4 linked regions of the Drosophila melanogaster genome follow. The protein of the gene in region 2 purifies or fractionates together with the protein of the main gene of each other region. This does not show direct contact. Each region holds a gene or a part of one and is shown on either strand. Other genes may lie near its edges.

Region 1 (4,423 bases), on a different chromosome or scaffold from region 2:
GAGAAATATGTGCAGACGAAAATGCCCACGCTGATCATGAGCACCGATATGTACTGACTCAACCGGTAACTCCTCTTCAGGATCAACGTGCACAGGCACATGTTGGAGATCAGCGAACCGCCGCGTATGATCATGTGCAGTGTCATTGGAACTTTGAACTTGAACACGTAGTTGTTGCATACGCTGGTCAGGAAAAACATGGCCACGAGGAGCGCATAGTCGCGCAGGCTGATCACTCTCTGGGCCAGGCCAAACTTCGAGGTGAAGATGAAGCCCTCGAGGGCAATAAATGCAAACTGGGCGCCAGTTATAAGGTTTCCAGCGCCGGGATCCAGTTTAACCAGGAGCTCCAAGAAGACGACGCCACTGCAGCAGCCCAAGAAAACGCCGCAGATGGCCGAAATAGCGCGGATGGATAAATTCATGAACTCGCGCAACGAAAGTAGACGATTCCCACCAACTTTAACCTACGATCTGGGCCATGACGAGCTTTTAAGCCAACTTACTTTCTCTTCGGCCATACAAAACGTAAACAAATGCAACAGGTGGTTATCGATAAAGTTCGGTTCGGGCACAGCTGATGTTGGTCTATCGAAAGTGGTTGAAATTCAAATATTCCAAGCGAAAAAGAAAAAATTTATGATTTTAAGAGAAGAATATTTTATTTAATGTACATTACATTCAAAACCAAACTTAAATATGTTGCCTAATCACATTCGAAATATTCGCACCAACAGTCTTTTACAACAATTACAAAATACAATGATGACAATGCTAAGAAAGAAATTACAGATTAGCAAATTAATGGTATATTACTTATTTTTCCTTTTCCAGCAAGGCAATAATTTTGTTTAACTTTTCCGTCTGCTGGGCCTCGAAGTTGTCCAGTCTCTTAGACACTAACAGCGTCAGCTTCTCAAATCTCATGTCGATGTGCTCCTTGAGGATTGCAACATCGGTGGAAGGCGGTGCAGTCTCTTGGGTTTGGTCCTTCGCCTGCGGGGAATAGCCCTTCATCAGGCTCATGAACTGCTCGAACTTTTCGGCCTGCTCCTCCTTCTTCAAGGGACTCGTGCCACCCCTTTGCAGCAGCTCTTGGATTCGCTGCGCATCCATTGGCCTGGGCAACTGGGTGGTTATGCCGTTGGGATTCGGCGCCACCTGGAGCAGGGCTCCGTAAACGCAGATCTCGCTGGCCGAGGTGAGCATCTTCAGGTTTATGTCATTTATCCCGGATCGGTCGATTTCCATGTCATAGCGATAGGGTCGCACCGCAACCTCTGGGTCCTCATCGTCGACGCAAGTGCCGTAGATGGTCTCGCAGTACTCCTGCAAGGGTCCAATGAACAGCTCCACCTTGGGAGCGCTGCAAATCAGGGTGAGCGCGGCGATTTTGAAGCGGTTCGGGATCTGGAAGCGCAGCTCACAAGGCGGCGGCGGATCCGCCGACTGCATGGAAAACAGCACGGCGCGATTCTCGTCGATCACGTCGTCCAAGTCGGGCCTGCGGACAAAGGAGGTTTCAAAATTACTTGATAAAAACCAGTTTCGGGGCGTGGAATCCTTTGTCTCACTTCACAAAGACGTCTTCGTCGGACAAGCGGGTGGCCACCAGTTGGTCCAGCCCGTTGCCCGACAGCTGGGGCCAAGTGCAGCGCGCGGTGACCTTTTCGCACATGCTTTAAGTGACAAAAAGTTGGAATTTATGGGAGCAAAATTTAAAAACAGCCAAATTTAAAAACCAAAACACGAATATAGTGATGACAAACGCGAGCGATAACATCTGCGCGGGGGATGCCAACCTGTTGCACAGCGCAAACTAATTGGACATTTGAAGGTAGCTTGACGCGCTATTCCAATAAGACCATACTCCGGAGTCCAATCAGAGAAGGCACCGCATCTGCGCACTACGTTTTTCCAACAGAACGGCAATATCGCGGCCTGACAGCTGCGACCTTGGACGGCTCCCTTGTAGGTCAAACTTCAGCAGAATTCCCACATATTGCAGTCGCAGCAAGGCGGCAGCTTAAGAACGAGTACACAATTATCCGCAGAGTGATCAACGCAGCTAAAATGGGCGGCAAGTACAAGATCGTGATGGTGCGCCACGGCGAGTCCGAGTGGAACCAGAAGAATCAGTTCTGCGGCTGGTACGACGCCAACCTCAGCGAAAAGGGTGAGTGATTACATCAATTTGAAATTTAAACCTCATATGTGGGATTAAAAATCTGATGTACATCTAGTTTCCAATCGATGATCCTTTGCTTTGATCAGTTTCACAATAGTATTCCTTTTCATTTACCCAAATTAATCTTCATTGACCTAGTGCAACATTATCTCATTCAAACTTTTCTGTGATAAAAATAGGTCTCTACAAACAAAAGCTTTCCAGTGCAATTTTCAGAAGCATCAAAATTCTAGTTTGTTACACTTTAAAGTCAAAAATTTGCCATCTCATATGTTTCTAAAGTTCAGATTATGCTTATGAGCATAATTTGATAGGTTATCGCCTTTTTTTAACCCTAGTAATCAAATTAAATTAAACGCATGCCTTTCAATTAGATTAAATTGGCTTACGTTCGTTACCCAACACGGCGTATACTTAATGTTCGCTAAACATTTGCCCAAACAGGTCAGGAGGAGGCCCTAGCCGCCGGCAAGGCCGTCAAGGATGCCGGCCTGGAGTTCGATGTGGCCCACACCTCGGTGCTGACCCGCGCCCAGGTGACGCTGGCCAGCATCCTGAAGGCCAGTGGCCACAAGGAGATCCCCATCCAGAAGACTTGGCGCCTGAACGAGCGCCACTACGGTGGACTCACTGGCCTGAACAAGGCCGAGACCGCCGCCAAGTACGGCGAGGCCCAGGTGCAGATCTGGCGTCGCAGCTTCGACACCCCGCCACCACCGATGGAGCCGGGCCATCCGTACTACGAGAACATCGTCAAGGATCCCCGCTACGCCGAGGGTCCCAAGCCCGAGGAGTTCCCCCAGTTCGAGTCCCTCAAGCTGACCATCGAACGCACACTGCCCTACTGGAACGACGTCATCATTCCCCAGATGAAGGAGGGCAAGCGCATCCTGATCGCTGCCCACGGCAACAGCCTCCGTGGCATCGTCAAGCATTTAGACAGTGAGCATGGGAGACATAACATATATCATATCATCTTTTTACCATATCCTTGTCCAATCCAGACCTTTCTGAGGACGCCATCATGGCCCTAAATCTGCCCACGGGCATTCCGTTCGTCTACGAGCTGGACGAGAACTTCAAGCCGGTGGTGTCCATGCAGTTCCTCGGCGACGAGGAGACCGTGAAGAAGGCCATCGAGGCTGTGGCCGCCCAGGGCAAGGCCAAGTAAGCACGCAGGCCACACCTCATGAGAATCCACTCAAATACGGCACAAGTCAGAGCATTCTGATTACGCTTCTGTTCAAGATGTAGCCAATCCCATTCGTTGTTGTTGTTCGCGTAGCAGTAATTGGTTCATCCCCACTACAGTTAATAAATAATTTATTATTACACTCAAGAGGACAGGCGGAGGAGGCTTCATTTATTGTCCGGCTCACTTCTTCTTATTCTTCTTGCCGTCCTTGGCCAATTCCAGGCCCAGGATGCACTTGGGCGGCACCTTGTACGTTTCCGTGAGCAGCGTGTGCACAAATCGCACCTGGTTGCCCTGGATTTGCAGCTGCTCGTGCTTTTGGTGCGGCAGTTTCACCACACTGGTGCTGGCGGCGGCTCCCTGCTTGCACAGCTTGATGAACTCGGCCAGGATGATGCCGTACGCCTCGATGTTGCTGACCAGCGTCACCTTCTTGTTGCCCGATCGCGTGGCCAGGGACATCTGGATGAGGGGCTTCCCGCTCGTATCTTTGCCGCTGCACATCTGGTAGGAGTGCTCCATCTTGCTGGTGATGAGGGAGCACATCTCGCTTAGCGAAACCTCTCTGTTACCATACAGCTCGATCAGAGTGTCGTCGGGGCGCACCAGCTTGGTCAGCGGATGGAGGAGACCATGTTTGCTCACGTACTCCCGCACAATCTTCTTGATCTGACCCGCCGGGATTCCCTCGCCGCGCTTGTAATTCAGCTTGGTGAAGAAGGCCGCCGTAACATCGGTCACTATGTACATCTCCTTCAGCTCGGAGTGGAACAGGGGCGTCTCGGACGCCGCTCCATTAGCTTCGCTTGCCTTGACATCGGTTATAAAGTTCACCACTTCGGGGTGCTCCAGGTCCACAGATGTGATTTTATCCACTCCCTTGCTCTCCTCCCGCACCACAATGAATCCTTGGTCCACCATCTCGGCCAGAAAGTTGGAGAGCTTTTTGTAGCGCGTCTTCTTCAGGTCGATTTGCTCCGTGGCCTCCGTGACCACATAGAGTCTGTAGAAATTGCTCGTCAGCAGAGGCAGGGGCAGCT
Region 2 (5,151 bases):
TAAACGGAAGGTTTGCAATAAAATGGGTTTTTTTTTATTTGAGTTTCTAAAAAGCAATAAGATTATGCATTTATAAAAGAAATCATTTTCTTTTGATTAGCAACTAAACATTTGAACAACATTTTGCATTAATGTATACTTCTAATGATAAGGTGTTGTTTATTCTAAATCGGATGAATCATATTTTGAAGACTTTGCGAATGACGCAGCAATGTGATCACCTTGAATAGACGAGACTCATATGTTCTCGAAGTCTGAATAATATAAAAATATATATTTCAAGATATACCAATACCAATTTCAAAACTTGAAACGCAAATCTAAAAAAAAGTATGCCATGATTATGGTTTCGGGTTTTCATAAACTATTTTCACCCGTTTCGGTTAGGTTTCTTTTCATATCTTTCGAGTAACCGGACAAAATCATTGAAAAATTTCTAAATTTTCAAAATTTGTTTATTTCGAATATAAAAGTTTTTTAACCATGGATAGGGGTACGTCTTCAAATCAGCCCGTAAGTATTTCATTTCTCTTTTGGTCTTTCAAATTTATCTCCGTGCTTTTCTGTAGATCCTGACCACCTGTGAGATGTATCCGCGCCGAAGGAACACGGAGTTCTACAGATCCCCGGAACCGAGAGTCTCCTGCCAAAACCAACGAGCGGAACATCCGGGGCAGATGCTCAACGTGACTCCCGACGAGAATCGGGAGGCCGTACGAAGACTTCCACGAATCCAGCCGCCAAATAATTTGGATAGTGTTTATCTACGCAATGGTTACTTTTCGTAAAATAAATTTTGTAGATTCTGTGTAAACTAAAATAAAGATATGTACGTATAGATATACTAATGAGATCATATGCATTTGCATAGAACGTCATAATTTCCTATCCTGTAATCATATATATTTTTATTTTGAAGGACATTTAATAGCAGTATAAAAACCGAGGACTGAAATGGGTCTGATTGATTGATATGTTCTCCATTGACCTGCGGATCATTCGATGGTCCATTGTTCTTTGTTGTCCGGGATTTGTTGTCGCAGCAACATGATGCTCCGTGTTTTGCAATTCGGAATATTTTTAGCATTGATAAAGAATCGATGCGGCGAACAAAGCAAACTTATCAAGGAAGCCGCCTGGTAACACCTCAATTGACAGGAGATCAGGTGGCCATGTAATCTTAATCACTATTTGAAATAGGTTAATCAAGGGGGCCCGTCAAACACCTGTTGTTGATATGTGTGAAAAAAGCACGATCATCAGTTTGAAATGGAAAAATGGGGAAAAATGAAAGTCATTACACGGCGACAAAATAGGTGTACCAATTCACGTTTTTAATGTGCTGTGGTATGAACTTTTTAAGTTGACAATGCAAGTGGGTTTGCTTATAAATAGTATCAATGTAATCGTGATATTTTGGGCATTCTTTTTTTTAGACTCTCCTATTTAGACAGCTGGAGAAGGTGTCTCTGGAGCGAGGAAATCTTAACTGGATCTTCCAGCTGCTTCACCTAACCACCAGTTTCTAGTGGCTCACTCTTGAATTTAGATAATGATGTAGGATTGATCTTGGTATGGCCGCCTAATCGTCGGTCTTATCACCTGCAATTATGGATGCAGCATGGGCGCTAAGATTGAGAGCTTCGCGGGTCGTTCAGATCCGGCGATGGCGCGGATCAAGGCTACGGATGCGACCGGTCATTGGCCGGATTGCAATCTGCGTATCGCCGATCCGGGGGTATAAATACTGGCTACCGATCATTGCAGCGTTACGATTCGAATCGACTCGAGAAGATGAAGTCGTTCACGGTGATTGCGTTAGCTGCAGTGGCATTGCTGGCTACTCTCGGCCAGGCCAAGCACCTGGACTCCAAGGTGGCGGACAAGGACTTTCTGATGAAACAGAAGTTCATGTACCAGATCCTGCAGCACATCTACCAGGACGATGTGTTCACCACGCCCTTCGGGGGCAGCTACGTGGAGTACAAGCCGTGGGAGCACGTGGCCGACTATGTGCACCCGGAGATGTTGGAGCACTTCTTCGAGCTGTGGCAACACCAACCCTTCACCGATGACATGGTGTGGTCGGTGATGTACGACAAGCACGAGGAGTATGTGGTGGGTCTGGTGCGTCTCTTCTACTTCGCCAAGAACTGGGAGACCTTCCAGCACGTCGTCTACTGGGCCCGCCAGCACGTAAACAAGCAGTTGTTCGTGTACGCCGTGACCATTGCCAGTTTGTTCCGTGATGATATGCAGGGAGTCGTCCTGCCGGCCCACTACGAGATCCACCCATGGAGCTACTTCGATAGCCAGGCACTGGAATGGGCTGAGCACTACAAAATGCACGGCTTCCATCATGTCAAGCAGATGGACAACATCTACAACGTGGTGATCCGTACGAACTATTCGAACGTGCACGGTTCCCTGAACTACGATCACGATTTGGCCTACTACCTGGAGGATGTTGGCTTCAATGCCTTCTACTACTACTTCAATCTGGACTATCCGTTCTGGACGAAGGGCGGCGAGGAGCATGTCCTTAACAAGGATCGTCGCGGTGAGCTCTACCTGTATGTCCACTGGCAATTGCTGGCCCGTTGGTACCTGGAGCGTCTGTCCCACGATCTCGGCGAGGTGCCCGCTTTCAACATGTATGTGCCAACCGAATCCGGCTATGCCAGTAACCTGCGCACCTACTACGGCGTACCCCAATGGCACCGGGAGAATCACCACAGCTTCTACCACGAGCACAACTACGAGCACATCGAGCATGTGGAGATGTACACGCAGCGTGTCATGGACTGGATCCACAAGAACGAGAAGTTCGATGTGGAGACCATCAATGTGCTGGGCAACATCATCCAGGGCAATGCGGACAGCGTGGACAAGAAGTTCTACGGCAGTCTTGACAAGCTGTACCGCTTCATTGTGAACGAGGGCCACCATTATGGCCATGGTGACGAGAGCTTCCCTGGCCTTTTCATGCACTACGACACCTCTATGCGCGATCCGATCTTCTACGAGGTATACAAGACCATTGTCAGCCACTACTGGCATCTGATGGAGACCTATCCGGAGTACCACAAGAAGGATTACGCCTTCGAGGGTGTCCACATCGATGCCGTCCACATGCCCGAAAGTCTGACCACCTACTTCGAGCACTTCGACTCGGACATCAGCAATGCCGTCAATGTGGAGCCCGCCGTTGAGGGATCCGCCGATCCGTTGTACACCTTCGGCAGGAACTCCCACTACAAGGGATCCAGCTATGTGATCAAGGCCCGCCAGCAGCGTCTCAACCACAAGCCCTTCGAGTTCACCCTGGACGTGACCTCGGACAAGGCTCAGGATGCCGTTGTGAAGGTCTTCATTGGACCCAAGTACGATGAGCACGGACACGAGATCCCACTGGAGCACAACTACCAGAACTTCTTCGAGCTGGAGCACTTCAAGGTGCATCTGGAGGCGGGCGTTAACCACATCAAGCGCGCCAGCGGTGACTTCTCCTTCTGGGTGAACGATCGCACCACCTACCTGGAGCTCTACCAGAAGCTGATGGACGCCACCAACAGTGACTACAAGTTCAAGCTGGATCAGTCGGAGGCCCATTGCGGCGTGCCCAACCGAATGATGCTGCCGCGCGGCAAGAAGGGCGGCCAGGTGTTCCAGTTCTTCTACATGGTCTACCCGTACCACCAGCCCGAGGTTGCCCAGTTCACTGGCTACGATCCGGTGGTCAGCTGCGGCGTGGGACACGGTTCCCGCTACGTGGACGCCCTGCCCTTCGGTTTCCCCTTCAACAGGCCGGTGAAGCATGACTACTACTTCGATGTCCACAACTTCAAGTTCGTCGACGTGAAGATCTTCCATCGCGACGAGCACACCAATGTGGTCTAGATCCTGGACCCAACGAATACGAACCCCAAAACGAACCAACGATATTGGATAGATTACATATGTTTTCCTTGTTATATCTTTGTCTGCATCCACTTACCCCATAGAGATCGTAATTTAACTCAATTTTTACCCAGCTTGTCAGTCCACCTTGTGACCATCGAACAATAAACGTATTCAACACAAGTCACTCTCTTTTCAATTTTTCAAAATATATTTTTGGTTTTCTAGTTATTTTCCTCTACTTACAGAATATATGTAAATAGAAGGAACAATAGAATAAAGGGCTTATTGATACTAGTTTTAAAGCCTACAGTTTTTAGCAGACGAATTTTCAAGTTAAAAATAGGCATTTTTATCTGGAATAAACACAATAGATTGTTAGATTTCTTAAATTACAATTTAATATTAAATGGTAAAATATGGTAACAAAAATATTTGCTTTATGCAAACCACGCTTGACATATTTCAGAATATGGTTTCAAATTGTATCATATTTTAAAAATATTAAAAGTTAAATTCAAAATATTTATAAATAATTAACCCTCACATTTTTTCTTTCACTGTATTAAGGTGCATTCCAGGGATGCGTACAACCACCTGCAGTTTGCCCCGTGAACGATAACTAGTTCGCTCATCTGCACCAATTGCTCGCATCCCTGGTCGCTAAAAAAACACACAAAGACTTGTTTTGTTGTTCTTCCCCAAAAATGAGCTCCTGGAAGGACAGTCTCACGAGCATTCCGGGCACGGTGGCGCAGTTGATTAACGAGAGCGCCAGCAACCTGTTACACGCCTCATCCACGCTGGGATCAACAGTTGGCCTTGGAGGCTCTGGCTCCACTGGATCTGGATCCGAGGCCGGAGGCTCCGAGGAAAGTGGTCCACAAGGTGCGGAGTACAGGGCGTTGCCCATTCCCGCGTCCTTGGTGCGCGAGCAATGGCGCCTAATCTTCACCAGCGATGCCAATATCCAGGATTTGCAGGCGGCCATCGCCCATTGCAGAGATCTCGTCCTGCTGAGCGAGGAACTCAGCGAGGAGCGTCGCTGGTTGGTGCGGCACCTGGTAGATTTGCGATACTCACTGCAGGAGCTGGAGGAGGCCCAGGAGCAGCATTCCCTATCGTCGGACATGGTAGTTATGAATGCCATACGTGCTGTGGTGGGTCATCATTTTGTGCCCCATCACCCGCATCATGGCAAACGGAATCGTCTGCAGGCAGCCGCCAAGAGGAACTACTGTGACCACTGCA
Region 3 (6,131 bases), on a different chromosome or scaffold from region 2:
GTTGATTATCGTGTAGCACGGCACTTGCGACGTCATCGTGGCTGCCTATTCCGTTCGCCTGTTTATCCCGATAATGCCAATTGACCAACTTATTTCCTAATTTCCAAATTCAGTTTTTTTTTGGTCTTTCCGACGTGTCACAATGCTAACAGGGTGTGACCGTGCGCGGCGCCGTGCGGAAATGCCACGCGAGTGCTGCCAGGGCTGCGCAGTGCTCTAGCGGGGACGCACACCGCCGGCCAGCAACCGCTTCGGCTAACAGCGGGCTGTTGAGCGCACTTGGCGCGCTTTTCAAACGTTTTGTTATTTGATTGTTATTTATCATTCTTATCATTTTTTAGTTCAACAAGTTTAACATTAGAATGTACAAAAAGCAGATGCACTTAAGCTCCACAAATGTATAGCTGGAAATTTACTTGCATTGCAGTGCTTGCATCTACAGAGCGAGTGCTGTTAAGTTACAGTGTCTTTTTCGCGCCATAACTGCAGTTTGAAATGCTATGTAACTATGTAAATGCATGCCAAAAATGTAAAAAATGAAAAGTGTTATAAACAAATTATTCTACATTAAGTTAAAGCTAATGAATTTTTCATTTCATATATAACACATTTAACAAAATATTATTTTGTTATATACTTTTATTTAAAATAGTAAGTATCACTGTTTCAAAAATGCCATTCGATTTGCAATTTGTACTTAAAATAAGTGAGTAGCAGTGCTTCATTTTTATCGCATACAATTTCCCTGATGAATGCCTTTTCCGTGCGGTTAAATAATGCAACGAAGCTTTTGCGCTGACAAACACACTTTGTGCTGGGCGTAGCTCCATTACCTCCCTTCTATTACCTGGCTGCAGATAGCCTCCGTGCCAGAGGACTGCTGATAAGAGGCCACCTCGGACTACTCGGAAAAATCCCCAACCCATTGCGATCCGGGTAAATTCCCGACCGCTCCGGGGCTCTTGACCTTGCCCAGTGCGAAGTGTGTGTGTTTGCATCTGCGGCACTGCCAAGCAATCTAATTCGGTTTCTGGTTTCGATTCCACTAGAAAGATCCCCGCCCACGCCCACGTCCCAAGTCCCACGGCATTTGCCATTGTGATCTCGTTTTGCACTTCATCATTCAATTGCCGCCCCCGCGACTCATTGCCCAGCCACGCCCCCTCCCTCAAAGGAGGAGGCACGGCCTGCATTTTAAGCAGTTCGTCAATTCTCTGCTGGATGTGGACAGTTCTCCACAGCTCCTCTTCGTTGCTCTTACTGCAACGAGCCGGTGCGGGTGACTAGCTAGGTGATCTGATCCCATCGTGGAACAGGTTCTGTGCCCGGCCTGAATAAACAAATGCCCTGATAGCGGGGCGAAATTGAAGTATATAAAACTAGAGACGAGTGCGAAAGCGAATGTGAGTGATATGCGAATAGCGCATACTCTCACTTTTTGCAGAAGCTTAAATGAGCTCCAAGTTTATCCACTCGAAGTTTATCCCCTGCATTTTTAGGAATATAAAACAATTTCGCATAACATATAAATCTAGATTTTGCTTGCAAATTATCTAAACGCAGTGCAATCATTTAAATTATCATAATAAATACTTGCACTTTTCAAATTGGCCATCTCAAGATCGTAGTTATGCGTCCAATTAAAAATTCAAAAAATATCCCCTCGGAGTGTATAAATAAAAGGCAATTACTCTTAATTTGTTTACTTCCAAGAAGAGTGAATTTAAAGTAGCCGAATCATTAGATGAATGCAAATGCAAATGAATGATGAAAAATGGGCTGGCAAAAACAGAACTAAAATAAGTGACTAAAGTACGTATGCCCCTGGGACTAAGGGCTCGCATGATTAACATCCATGGATTGGGAATGGATGGGGATGGGGTGGTGGCTGGCTCCTCGTCGCTCCCACCGTGGTGACTCAACCGGTTGCTGCAACTACAAGCGACTAGAGAAGATTTTGCCCGTTTATTTGGCAGGGTAGTGAGTTCTTAGAAATTGAAGGCACCAGTGCATTTATATAACTCAATAGGCACAAATAACCAAGTGCCAGTCGGTGCGGTGGCATCAAATTATTCAGGTATATAGTATATGGCTCGATCGATTAGGGGATCAAGTGCCAAGACAATTAAGTGAAGAGCAGCCAGGCCGTTTCTATCTCGATTTTAGCTGTATGTCAGCAACTACGCTTTTTGACAATCGCAATCAAATAGTTAAATAGGCTATTTTTAAAACCTATTCACTGCAATTTTTCCAGCTTAAATGTTCGTAAAGAATGTGCTTAAGAAATTAGTGTGTGTGCCTAAATAAATTCTGTCAAGAGAAAGCGCTGGCTCAATGAATCAATGGCTCAATGGCTCATTGTTTGATTATTGCCAAGATCCAAAACTAATTACCAAACACACAAATGCTGCAGGCTAAATTCTGATTTTGATCGATTATATTGTCGATTATATATACTATATATTGTCTCGAAGACAAGCAAAAAGTCGAACTTAAGGTAGATCATGGATTGAGTAGCATACTAATTGATTTGCGAAAATCGCATTTAATGGCATAGCCATATATCAGTGTCGCAAACTCGTTTGCCGGAGTATATAGGCCTGGATTGCCGCCCACTCACGCCTTTCCTCGGGGAAAAACCGGTCGCCTGGACTGTCTTTCTTTCTTTATTGTTATGATTGCTATTATTATTATTATTACTATTATTATTGGTATTGGTATTGGTATTATTGTGCCTCCTTGTCGCCGGGCAAATAGAAGCGAAAGAGAACAAATACGAGTGCAAAAAAAAAGAGCACGAAAGCCGGGGAAAGAAGCAGCACATCTGGGTGGCTATAAAAGCCACCAGCCGGCTCCGGATTCTCCACAGTCGAGCTTCAACTGTTTCTCAGATGATGTCGCCGCATAAGACCCACACCTGGCTGCCACTGGCGGTGGCCGCCCTCCTGCTGATCCTTGGACCGCAGTCCTCCCTGGCGGAGGAACCCATTTGTATGTGCATCCCGGAGTCACTAGTTGAATGCATCTAACCAGTTGAATCCATTTCATACGAACCCAAAACGGCAGATCGCCTGTGTGTGCCGCAAATCTATTTGGCCGAGTGCCAGCAGCTGCTGGCCGATCCCTCGGAGGCGGGCATCCGCATGGAGTGCGTGGCTGGACGGGATCGAGTGGACTGCCTGGAGCTGATCGAGCAGCGCAAGGCCGATGTGCTGGCCACCGAGCCGGAGGACATGTACATCGCCTATCATCGCAAGAACGAGGACTATCGCGTGATCTCTGAGATCCGAACGCAGCAGGACAAGGATGGTAAGTGGTGCAAATGCTCGTGGGAGCAAAATGCGAAATGCTTTCGAATGAAATTAAAGGGTATTTAAAATGTATAGTACTGACTAATGACTAATGGCCCTTTGTTGTTAATTTGCGATTCGAAGCAAAAGGCTCGAAGGACCAAAATAGTTACTAGTTCCCTTTTTTTTTACTCATAAATCTCCTACTGGTTTCATTTCTCGACAGCCGCCTTCCGTTACGAGGGCATTATCCTGGTGAAGAAGGACTCCCCCATTCGCACCCTGCAGCAGCTGCGTGGCGCCAAGTCCTGCCACACTGGCTTCGGCCGCAACGTCGGCTACAAGATCCCCATCACCAAGCTGAAGAACACGCACGTCCTGAAGGTGTCCGCCGATCCGCAGATCTCCGCTACGGAGCGCGAACTGAAGTCGCTGTCCGAGTTCTTCACGCAGTCGTGCCTGGTGGGCACCTACTCCACGCATCCGGAAACGGATCGCCTGCTGAAGAAGAAGTACGCCAATCTGTGCGCTCTGTGCGAGAAGCCGGAGCAGTGCAACTATCCGGACAAGTTCAGTGGCTATGATGGCGCCATACGCTGCCTGGACAAGGGTCAGGGCGAGGTGGCCTTCTCCAAGGTGCAGTACATCAAAAAGTACTTTGGTCTGCCGGGTGCCGGCCCAGATGCGCCGCCAGCGGAGGGCAATCCGGAGAATTTCGAATATCTGTGCGAGGATGGCACCCGGCGCCCGGTCACCGGACCCGCCTGCTCCTGGGCCCAGCGCCCCTGGAGCGGCTACATCTCCAACGAGCAGGCCGTTCACAACTCGGAGCAGCTGCACCAATTGCAGTCGCGTCTGGAGCGCTTCTTCGCCAATGGACTGCAGGCGCAGAACAAGGACGCCGCCGCCCATCTGCTCATCCAGCCGAATGCCGTGTACCACAGCAAGGATGCTGCCATCGATCCCAAGGTCTATTTGGAGCGTGCCGGCTACAAGGATGTGATCGAGCGTGATGGCAGTGCCATCAGGAAGATCCGCTTGTGCGCCCAGAACGACGACGAGTTCGCCAAATGCCAGGCGCTGCACCAGGCTGCCTACGCCCGCGACGCTCGTCCGGAACTCGAGTGCGTTCAGTCCACCGATTGTGTGGTGGCTCTGACCAAGAAGGAGGCGGATTTGACCATTGTTCGCGCAACTGGCTACGCGGATGCCCGTAGCAACCAGCTGCAGCCAATCGTCTACGAGCAGAGGGCTCAGGATGATGTCCTTGTGGCGGTCGCAGCACCCGGCGTTACACGGGAGGCTCTCCAGAAGGCCAGCATGTAAGTGGAATCCCTCGATCATCCGTAGCACATTAGCTACATATACTATCAATATTCCGCAGCAAATTCAATGAGAATTGCGAACGATCCCGTGCTGCTGCCGCCTTGTTGAACAAGCGACGTGGCCTGGACGCTTGTCGTGTCTCATCCAGCGACGATGGAGAGGTGCAGATCGTGCCCGCCTCCGAGCTGGAGAAGCACAAGGACGCGCAGCTGGTGTGCCCCAGTCTGGAGCGGCGACCGGTCACCGACTTCCGTGACTGCAACGTGGACGTACAGCTGCCCCGTGCCATCTTCATCCGATCGGACACCACCAGCGTGGAGCAGGAGACAGTGAAGCATCTGTTCTCGCTGATCTCGGACAAGTTTGGTGCCCGCGGCAAGCTGGTGGATGTTTTCGCTCTGTTCGGCGAATTCCAGAAGGGCAAGAAGAATGTGTATTTCAACGTAAGTTATCCTCTTTCCTTATTTAAGCTTCGGCGTTTAAAAAGAAAACAACTTTCTCTGCAGGACAAAGCCGTTCAGCTCACCACGGAGCTCAAAAACGAAATCCAGAACGAGCAGATCTACACAGATCTCCAGTGCAATGCTAACAAGATTGCCAAGCAGTGATCACATTTTATACTACTAGATCCCACTATCTGCATCAATAAAATTTAATTCGAATATAAACAGATATCACGTCTTAATGCCTACTTAAGGGAAAATCGAAAAAAAAAGTTTAGACCTATTAAATATGGCTAACTAGTTACCAAATACAATGCTACAAAGTTTCCCAGCCAATTGGCTTTTCACACCACTCATGAATTATTCAAAACGAATTGTTCTCATTCAATTACAGCAATTTATGGTTTTCATTTTTAAAAAAAAAAGACACATTATATGTATGGAACCAGCTAATTTATAATGTATAATGTATATATATATATATCGGTTATGGTATATAGTTTCACATATCTGTGCTTGGGTAAAATCGCCAGGGAAAATCGTACGTTTCATAATTGCTTCGACCACGGTGTGGATTTCGGGTAAGGGTTTGCAAGGCTAATGGGGGCATTGGGGAAGTTTGAGAATAAAATTCGTTGATCCAAACATTCCATTCCAGAAGGGCGGCTGTGGCATCATCTAGTCTTCGGAGGCATCGCGCACAGCCTCTGTGGAAGACTCGGCACCACTGGGTGTCTCCTCCTCCTCGGAATAGTCCTCGTCATGGGTGTGGGTCACCACGGTGGGCGTCGACGGACGAGTGTGCACAATGGAGCTCTGGAACAAGAACAAGATTCGATTAACAATGGTCTAGATTATAATCATAGTTGGCAAGTACTTACTGCGCGATGCAAGTCCTTGGGGTCCTTAACGTGCTCGGCGGTGCCCGCCAAAATGCGAGCCGGCTCATCCGGCGAGGCAGCCACCGATGCGGCTCCCGTAGCCGGAACAGGAACAGGGCCCAGTGGCGGAGGCGGCTGATGGGCCTGATCATGGGCCACCGTCGACTCATGGGGCAGAAGCATGGCCGGAG
Region 4 (6,295 bases), on a different chromosome or scaffold from region 2:
GTTTTTGCGGTGCCATAATATAGCTGTTGTGTATTATTAACGGCCTGCAGTTCAGTGGGCTTCATTTACACAGTAATTATGGCGCGCTCTTAATTGTTCGATTTGAAACTAAAGTTAATCCTTAACGATAGCATACGATACATACCTATAGCTACTCGAAAACGAGCGAAACTTAACAGTGAATGGGCCATAAATTATTGGGAGTCAAAGCGTAAACTACGCATGGCAAAGTTTGGCCAACTTTAAGAATGCCGGGCCAGCAAGTCCTCGGAGTCCTGGTGATGGAACGCACAGGCAATAACAATTTATATGGCCCGGACTGACATTTCAACATGGCCAGGACACGTACTGAAAGTTCGGAGCTGGCTAGGTCGCTCCACGAGCTGTATCATTCAAAAAGGTGCTGCAACCTTGGTGCGGACAGGAGGGCATTTAGAAATTAATGATAATTGACACAATAAGCGACAAGTTGAGCCCGAGTCCAGGGAGCAAATCCAGGGTAGGGGGACACTTCTGCCCTTACCATCCCATCTAGCCGCTGGGATAATATAATAGTCAATGACATTAGAAGCCAATAAATAAAGGCGAATGAAAACAAACAGCGTGCAGCCCAACAAACGTGCAGATGGGTACAAGATGGCCCTTGGGTACATATGCACAGGAAAAAATGATATATGTATCTATACACTTAAAATTACACACAATTTTACATAAAAGTCTTAAAAGATGAATATTAAACTTGTTTCATAACAAAAATTAGGGTATTATAGTCACTATATATATATAACTTCTATAGTTCTAGGAAACTGATATTGATGATTTCTATAGTCAGAATTAAACTGCATGACTTAAAACTATTCTACCTCTTACTCAAAAGGGTGTACTAGTCCCATTATGAAATTCGACGAATGTAGCATTTCCGACTTGATAATATTGTGAATATATTTATCATAATTTGAAATAAATCCCTAATCAGTCTATTACTCAGACTCTTTTAAGCAGGAATGAGGATATATGGTAGTCAGAGTCCTTTAGCATTCCTTCTTATGTATCTTAACTTTCAGCTGGCAATATAATTTAAGTATAACTGAGATAATTGCAATGTTAAAGTACAAAAACTTAAGTAGGCTTATATTTAATTTAGTATCATTGCTAGTGAGCACACAAAGCTCAATGTAAACAACATCAAGATGATGTTTCGAGAACGAAACCATGTTCCCCGATTTCTGGAGGCGTCAAACTCATTTAACGCCTAATTACTTTGGGGCCGAGACGCAATCGTGTGAGCAACCGCACACAAATTTCTAAATCCTAATTAGGCGGAAAAACTACCCATCCTGCCCGGAAAAGCAACCCAAATCCCCTGCCTACTTATTGCGCTTTGGCAATCAAAGCCGCTGACAGAAAGTATAAAATTTCAGAGCTCACGTCTGCCGCTCACTTTCGCATTTATGGAAATAATTAAAACTGATTTGCAGGTCGAAACAATTATTGCCTCCTCCTCAATTAGGTTGCGTTCTTCATGCACGACTTTGTCATTCAATTAACCATTGCACTGCCAATAAGTGAGTGGCACATAAAATGTGAGAAAATGCGAACGTGACCTAATAGCCGTGAGCCAGCTTGATGATTGTTATCCTTGGAAAAATCCACAGCAGAGGCAAATTTCCCTACTGCAGCAATTACCAGCATCTGAATAGTGGCTGTCTTAAAGAAATGTGAATGGTGTATACAAACGAGGTAAAAGTATTATGCGTAACCAGAGGAACAGGCAAACCTTCTGCATAAACCCCTCCAATAAAATCGGCTCGACATTGTGGCAGCTAGGATCCTGGAAAATAGAAGTTTTATCCTTTTTGCTCATCCTGGGCAGCTGGGCTGCTTTTAAAGGCTTATGTGCTCATATTTTGCATGCTCGGAGCTAGGGAAAAAGGGTGGGCAGAGAAGCCGGATGGATTTTGGAATTTGTGGCTAAGCATCGATTCGTTACCACTGGCCAATATTTCGGCTTTGTGCTGTGAAACAATGCGGCCTAGAAGTTTGGCAGGAGGTTTTGATTTTAGCGGGCAAAAGTCAAACGAATTCACTTCCGTATAAGTTTGGCCCGCTTTACTACGTTTCCCAGCTTCCAATTCCCCTACTTTCTGTGCCTGTGCTTTCTGATGCGAGCGAAACGGGAAATGAAAGTGCTGACAATTAAATTATGGCTATAAGATTGGGCCAAAATTTTGCCGCTTCAAGAAGGCAGTAGTTTCAGTTGCTTGCCAAGTTTAAATTTGGTCAAAGTTGGCCTTTGATCGTTTCAAACGTCAAGCAATACTCGATCGAAATCACAAAGTTATTGCAGCTCCCTTGGGAATGGGAAGAAATTTCCTTCGTCTGCCCAGTGTGAGTGGTAGAAGCTCATTCGTATATTCCATAGTCGCCTGTTCAAATCTTCCCAAGCGACGGAGCATTGTGCTCAGTTTTGGCCACATTATGACCGAGGTGAGTAAGGCTTTTAGGTCCTGCGGACTAAACATTAATATAAAATCCTCGTTGTGATTAATTTTATAAAATGCTTTTCACGATTAACTTTCCAGTCCCGTCCCTATGTATCAAATTTTAGTATGAATTATAAATAATAATGAATACATACATATATACGTGTTAAAACAACTTACAGATGAACTGCTGTGCATAATTTGTATGTTAACCAATCGTAATAGATCGCCCAAAAATAAGTAAAAATTTTAATAAATACCACAGAACTAGTATTTCTTGGTTGAAAACTTATCAAAATATATTTTTCTAGTTACAAGTAAGAATAGTGATTTATCAGCAATTCTCTTTGGGGCAAAGGGTTTTACAATTTCTTACACGCCACCTATCGGTGGTACAATCCTTACTTTACTTTCTACACTTATGCGGCAAATGTGCTGTAAAATGGATTTTATGTGAAGCATCTAATCAATGTCCCTATTTACTTTCACAACCTGTATAAATGATTTAAAAAAATATTTTAATCACTATCATCCGAAGAAATCTCCTGAGCTTCCTCCCCTGCTTCCGCTTTATCCTCCTTTTTCCCAAATTCCTCCTCCTCATCACTATCTGAGTTTTCCATTGGGTTTGTCTTGAGGCGAGCTATCAGCTCTTTGGCGGGATTGAAAATACCATTTGTTTGCTGGGAACAGATGATGCAGCGCTGTGACTTTTTGTACTGGGCCAAGGCGCACTTTTCACAGAAATAGTGCTTGCACCTGGAAGAAAGATAAATATGTTATTTATTCAGTAAATCCAGTTTAGAAATCGTTATCATCTTCATACTTTGTTACCACGGGATTGACAAAACTCTGTCGGCAGATGTGGCACTTGAAAGGCAGTGTTTCTTCATCGGAGTGAATCTCATACTTGGTATCATCGCCATCGGAGTCTACATCACCCGTTCGCTGATTTTCGTGATCCATTTCCAATTGCCAGCCCGCTTTGTAATCACTGCGATCGTGCAGAAACTTACAGCTGTCGCCAAAGCCGCAATATCCTGTTTCCTTGTAATCCTTGCATATATCCGGCTGATAATCCCACCTGACAGTGGCCCTAAGATGGGCAGGAGCCCTAATTGGGCCACTTCGTACCATTCCGGAGCTGGCATTCCCTGCCGCTGTATCCTGCTTCTTGTAGTACTGCGCATAGTTGTTAATTCCGCGATAGATCTTATCGTCCGCCTTGCCCTCCAGCTCTTCGTTGATTTTCAGAGCTCGCGCATGAATTGCCTGCGCATCGCGATCCAATTCTGTGTCCATTTCGTTAATCGATGTAGCTCCCTGATCTTGGGGTCCACTGGGCAGCGCCTCGCGTTTGGATTTGTACGCAATGCCCAGTTTATCATCGTCGGAGGCTGAGGATGAGCCATCATCACCAACTCCTCCCGCCTGTCTCTTTGCTTTGCTCATTGTCTTGGTGCTCTGGAAGTTGGGATTCGTGCGCTTTCGGCGGTTCTCGGCTCGCACCAGAGCACTGGCTTTGCCTTTGGTCTCTTCATCGCTGCTTTTTGCTGGAATATCAATAATATTTGCCCATTTACTTTGTTGGCGGTAAAATTAAGTTCCTACCAGATTCATCACTGCTGGTTTCCTTTTTGCGACGAATTCCAGCTCCCTTCTTGAGGTTCCGCTTCTTGAAGCCAAAGGACGAGGTGCTAGCCGCTTCTTCCGACATTCTCCGGCTTTTAAATTTATGTACTTATCTAGTAATTCACGTTAACAACAATTAACAATAGCAATTTCGCCAACTGGCGCTTCTTCTTCCCGGCTAGTGATGGTACTTGCGTAACAATCGTTATGGAGTTAGTATTTTTGTATGAAACGGGCACATTAAAATTCAATGTTTACTTATGAGGAATATATTCGTTTGTAATAATTGCAATTTTTACATATTTAATACATCATCAATATGTAATAATTAATAGATTTATATTAATTTAAAGAATTCTAGAAAATATTAACTCCTATGGGATCTACCCTTTTAATCATCGATACCAAGATGTTCTGAAAGCTTCCCACTTTTGGCGCTCTACACGCGGTCACACTGTTTTCTTATCGCTTGTTATTTTTAGATCGTCAAAAAACAAGTGCGTTTTTAAAAATTAATGGATTTCAGTTTTAGCTTACAAATTATTTACTCCGTTTCACCCCCAGAACATGACGCTCGAACAGCTGTCCGCAAATAAGTGCTTCGAGGGCGAGCAACGCGTGTATCGCCATCGCTCGGACACCTTGAAGTGCGACATGACCTTTGGCGTCTTCCTGCCGCCGGCCGCTTTGGAGGGTAAACCGTGTCCGGTGCTGTTCTTCCTCAGCGGACTGACCTGCACGCATGAGAACTTCATCCAGAAGAGCGGATTCCAGCAGCACGCCGCCCGCCACAACCTGATCGTCGTCAATCCGGACACTTCGCCCAGGGGCGTGGAAATTGCCGGCCAAGATGATGCATACGACTTTGGAAGCGGGGCTGGATTCTATGTGGATGCAAAGGAGGAGCCGTGGTCGAAGCACTACAAGATGTACAGCTATGTGACCCAGGAGCTGGTGGATGTGGTCAATGCCAATCTGCCCGTGGTTCCCGGTAAACGCGGTATATTCGGCCACAGTATGGGCGGCCACGGAGCCCTGATCTGCGCGCTTAAGAATCCCGGGCTGTACCAGTCGGTGTCCGCTTTTGCGCCGATTGCCAATCCCACCGAGTGCCCGTGGGGCAAGAAGGCCTTTGCCGGCTATCTGGGCTCCAATCCGGATGACTGGGCCCTGTGGGATGCCACGCATCTGGTGTCGCAGTACGAGAGCACTCCGCAGGAGCTCTTCATCGACCAAGGTGCAGCAGACAACTTCCTGGCCGGCAAGCAGCTGCTGCCGGAGAACCTGCTGGCTGCCGCAGATGGCAATGATCACATCCAGACCATCTTCAAGCAGCGCGAGGGATACGATCACAGCTACTTCTACATCGCCACGTTCGTCGCCGAACACATCGCCTACCATGCCGCCCTGCTCACAGCTTCCGCTTGATGATATTCCGCTTGTACATAATCGTTGGTTTCCACCGAAACCATAATTCAACGTAAATTTGGCAGTAAATAAACCAATTTCGACTGAGCTTCTAAAATGTATTCTTACATTCTTGACTTTAAACTTTGAACTTGGACTTTGAAAAACAAATATTTTTATTCATTCTAGGTGCCAATGTACAGAAGATTATACACAAATGGCGTGTACTTTGTTATTTCGGTTTTAAGTTCAGCAATTTCCTTTCACAAACAAAAACTTAAGTAATGGGTATTCAGCATTCGTCGAATTCCTAAGGACTTTTTCCCGGACTTGTGGTAAGGGTAAAAGCTCGCAACGTAGTAAAAGCTTTCCGGTTGTTGGTCCACGGCATGCTGGAAACTTTCCGCATCCTGGCATCCTGCGTACGATTCATTCATCAGTAGAAAAAACGCCGTCTGATGGAATAGATGTGCTAGTGACAGAGGGAACCGAACCGAACGGAGGTACCAAAAGGCGACATTCTCGACTCGTTTGGCGCCATATTTACTAGGACCAATCGGAGTCGCCAGCTCTGTATTTGCGTGACTGCGTGTGTGCGCGAGATAGTCCTGTTTTTTGGACCCCCCTTTGTTTGTGTAACTTCGCGCGCTTTTGTGTTTTATATACCAACGGGTCGGAAAATCGGGTACCAAAAAAAGGGATTTGAAAAGGCGTGAGATTTGCGGCCAGCTGCTGGACGACTGCCAGCGGACTGAAATCTTAATTAGCCATTT

The links.
Region 1: the proteins of Lsp2 (region 2) and Pglym78 purify together in Drosophila melanogaster (affinity purification with mass spectrometry, with the first as the bait; one large-scale study listed by BioGRID). This does not show direct contact.
Region 3: the proteins of Lsp2 (region 2) and Tsf1 purify together in Drosophila melanogaster (affinity purification with mass spectrometry, with the first as the bait; one large-scale study listed by BioGRID). This does not show direct contact.
Region 4: the proteins of Lsp2 (region 2) and CG4390 purify together in Drosophila melanogaster (affinity purification with mass spectrometry, with the first as the bait; one large-scale study listed by BioGRID). This does not show direct contact.

What each region holds. Positions count from the first base shown.
Region 1 is NT_033777.3:29,146,377-29,150,799, forward strand, and holds Pglym78 (phosphoglyceromutase 78), read left to right. Parts: upstream 1-1,871; 5' UTR 1,872-2,073; coding exon 2,074-2,176; intron 2,177-2,632; coding exon 2,633-3,130; intron 3,131-3,192; coding exon 3,193-3,359; 3' UTR 3,360-3,525; downstream 3,526-4,423. Other genes in the region: CG14511 (uncharacterized protein), read right to left, coding at 1-425; CG11882 (uncharacterized protein), read right to left, coding at 817-1,504, 1,575-1,678; eIF2D (eukaryotic translation initiation factor 2D), read right to left, coding at 3,564-4,423.
Region 2 is NT_037436.4:12,127,616-12,132,766, forward strand, and holds Lsp2 (larval serum protein 2), read left to right. Parts: upstream 1-1,777; 5' UTR 1,778-1,794; coding exon 1,795-3,900; 3' UTR 3,901-4,254; downstream 4,255-5,151. Other genes in the region: CG34241 (uncharacterized protein), read left to right, coding at 484-513, 570-788; DEF8 (differentially expressed in FDCP 8 homolog), read left to right, coding at 4,608-5,151. UniProt on the Drosophila melanogaster protein: Larval storage protein (LSP) which may serve as a store of amino acids for synthesis of adult proteins.
Region 3 is NC_004354.4:18,385,058-18,391,188, forward strand, and holds Tsf1 (transferrin 1), read left to right. Parts: upstream 1-2,026; 5' UTR 2,027-2,891; coding exon 2,892-2,991; intron 2,992-3,066; coding exon 3,067-3,309; intron 3,310-3,516; coding exon 3,517-4,612; intron 4,613-4,674; coding exon 4,675-5,059; intron 5,060-5,122; coding exon 5,123-5,224; 3' UTR 5,225-5,287; downstream 5,288-6,131. Other genes in the region: betaCOP (coat protein (coatomer) beta), read right to left, coding at 1-36; Nt5b (5' nucleotidase B), read right to left, coding at 5,738-5,875, 5,941-6,131.
Region 4 is NT_033777.3:20,055,759-20,062,053, reverse strand, and holds CG4390 (uncharacterized protein), read left to right. Parts: upstream 1-2,303; 5' UTR 2,304-2,358; coding exon 2,359-2,487; intron 2,488-2,762; exon of another isoform or gene 2,763-3,001; coding exon of another isoform or gene 3,002-3,242; intron 3,243-3,309; coding exon of another isoform or gene 3,310-4,036; intron 4,037-4,094; coding exon of another isoform or gene 4,095-4,200; exon of another isoform or gene 4,201-4,306; intron 4,307-4,563; exon of another isoform or gene 4,564-4,612; intron 4,613-4,679; coding exon 4,680-5,543; 3' UTR 5,544-5,636; downstream 5,637-6,295. Other genes in the region: mdlc (midlife crisis), read right to left, coding at 3,002-3,242, 3,310-4,036, 4,095-4,200.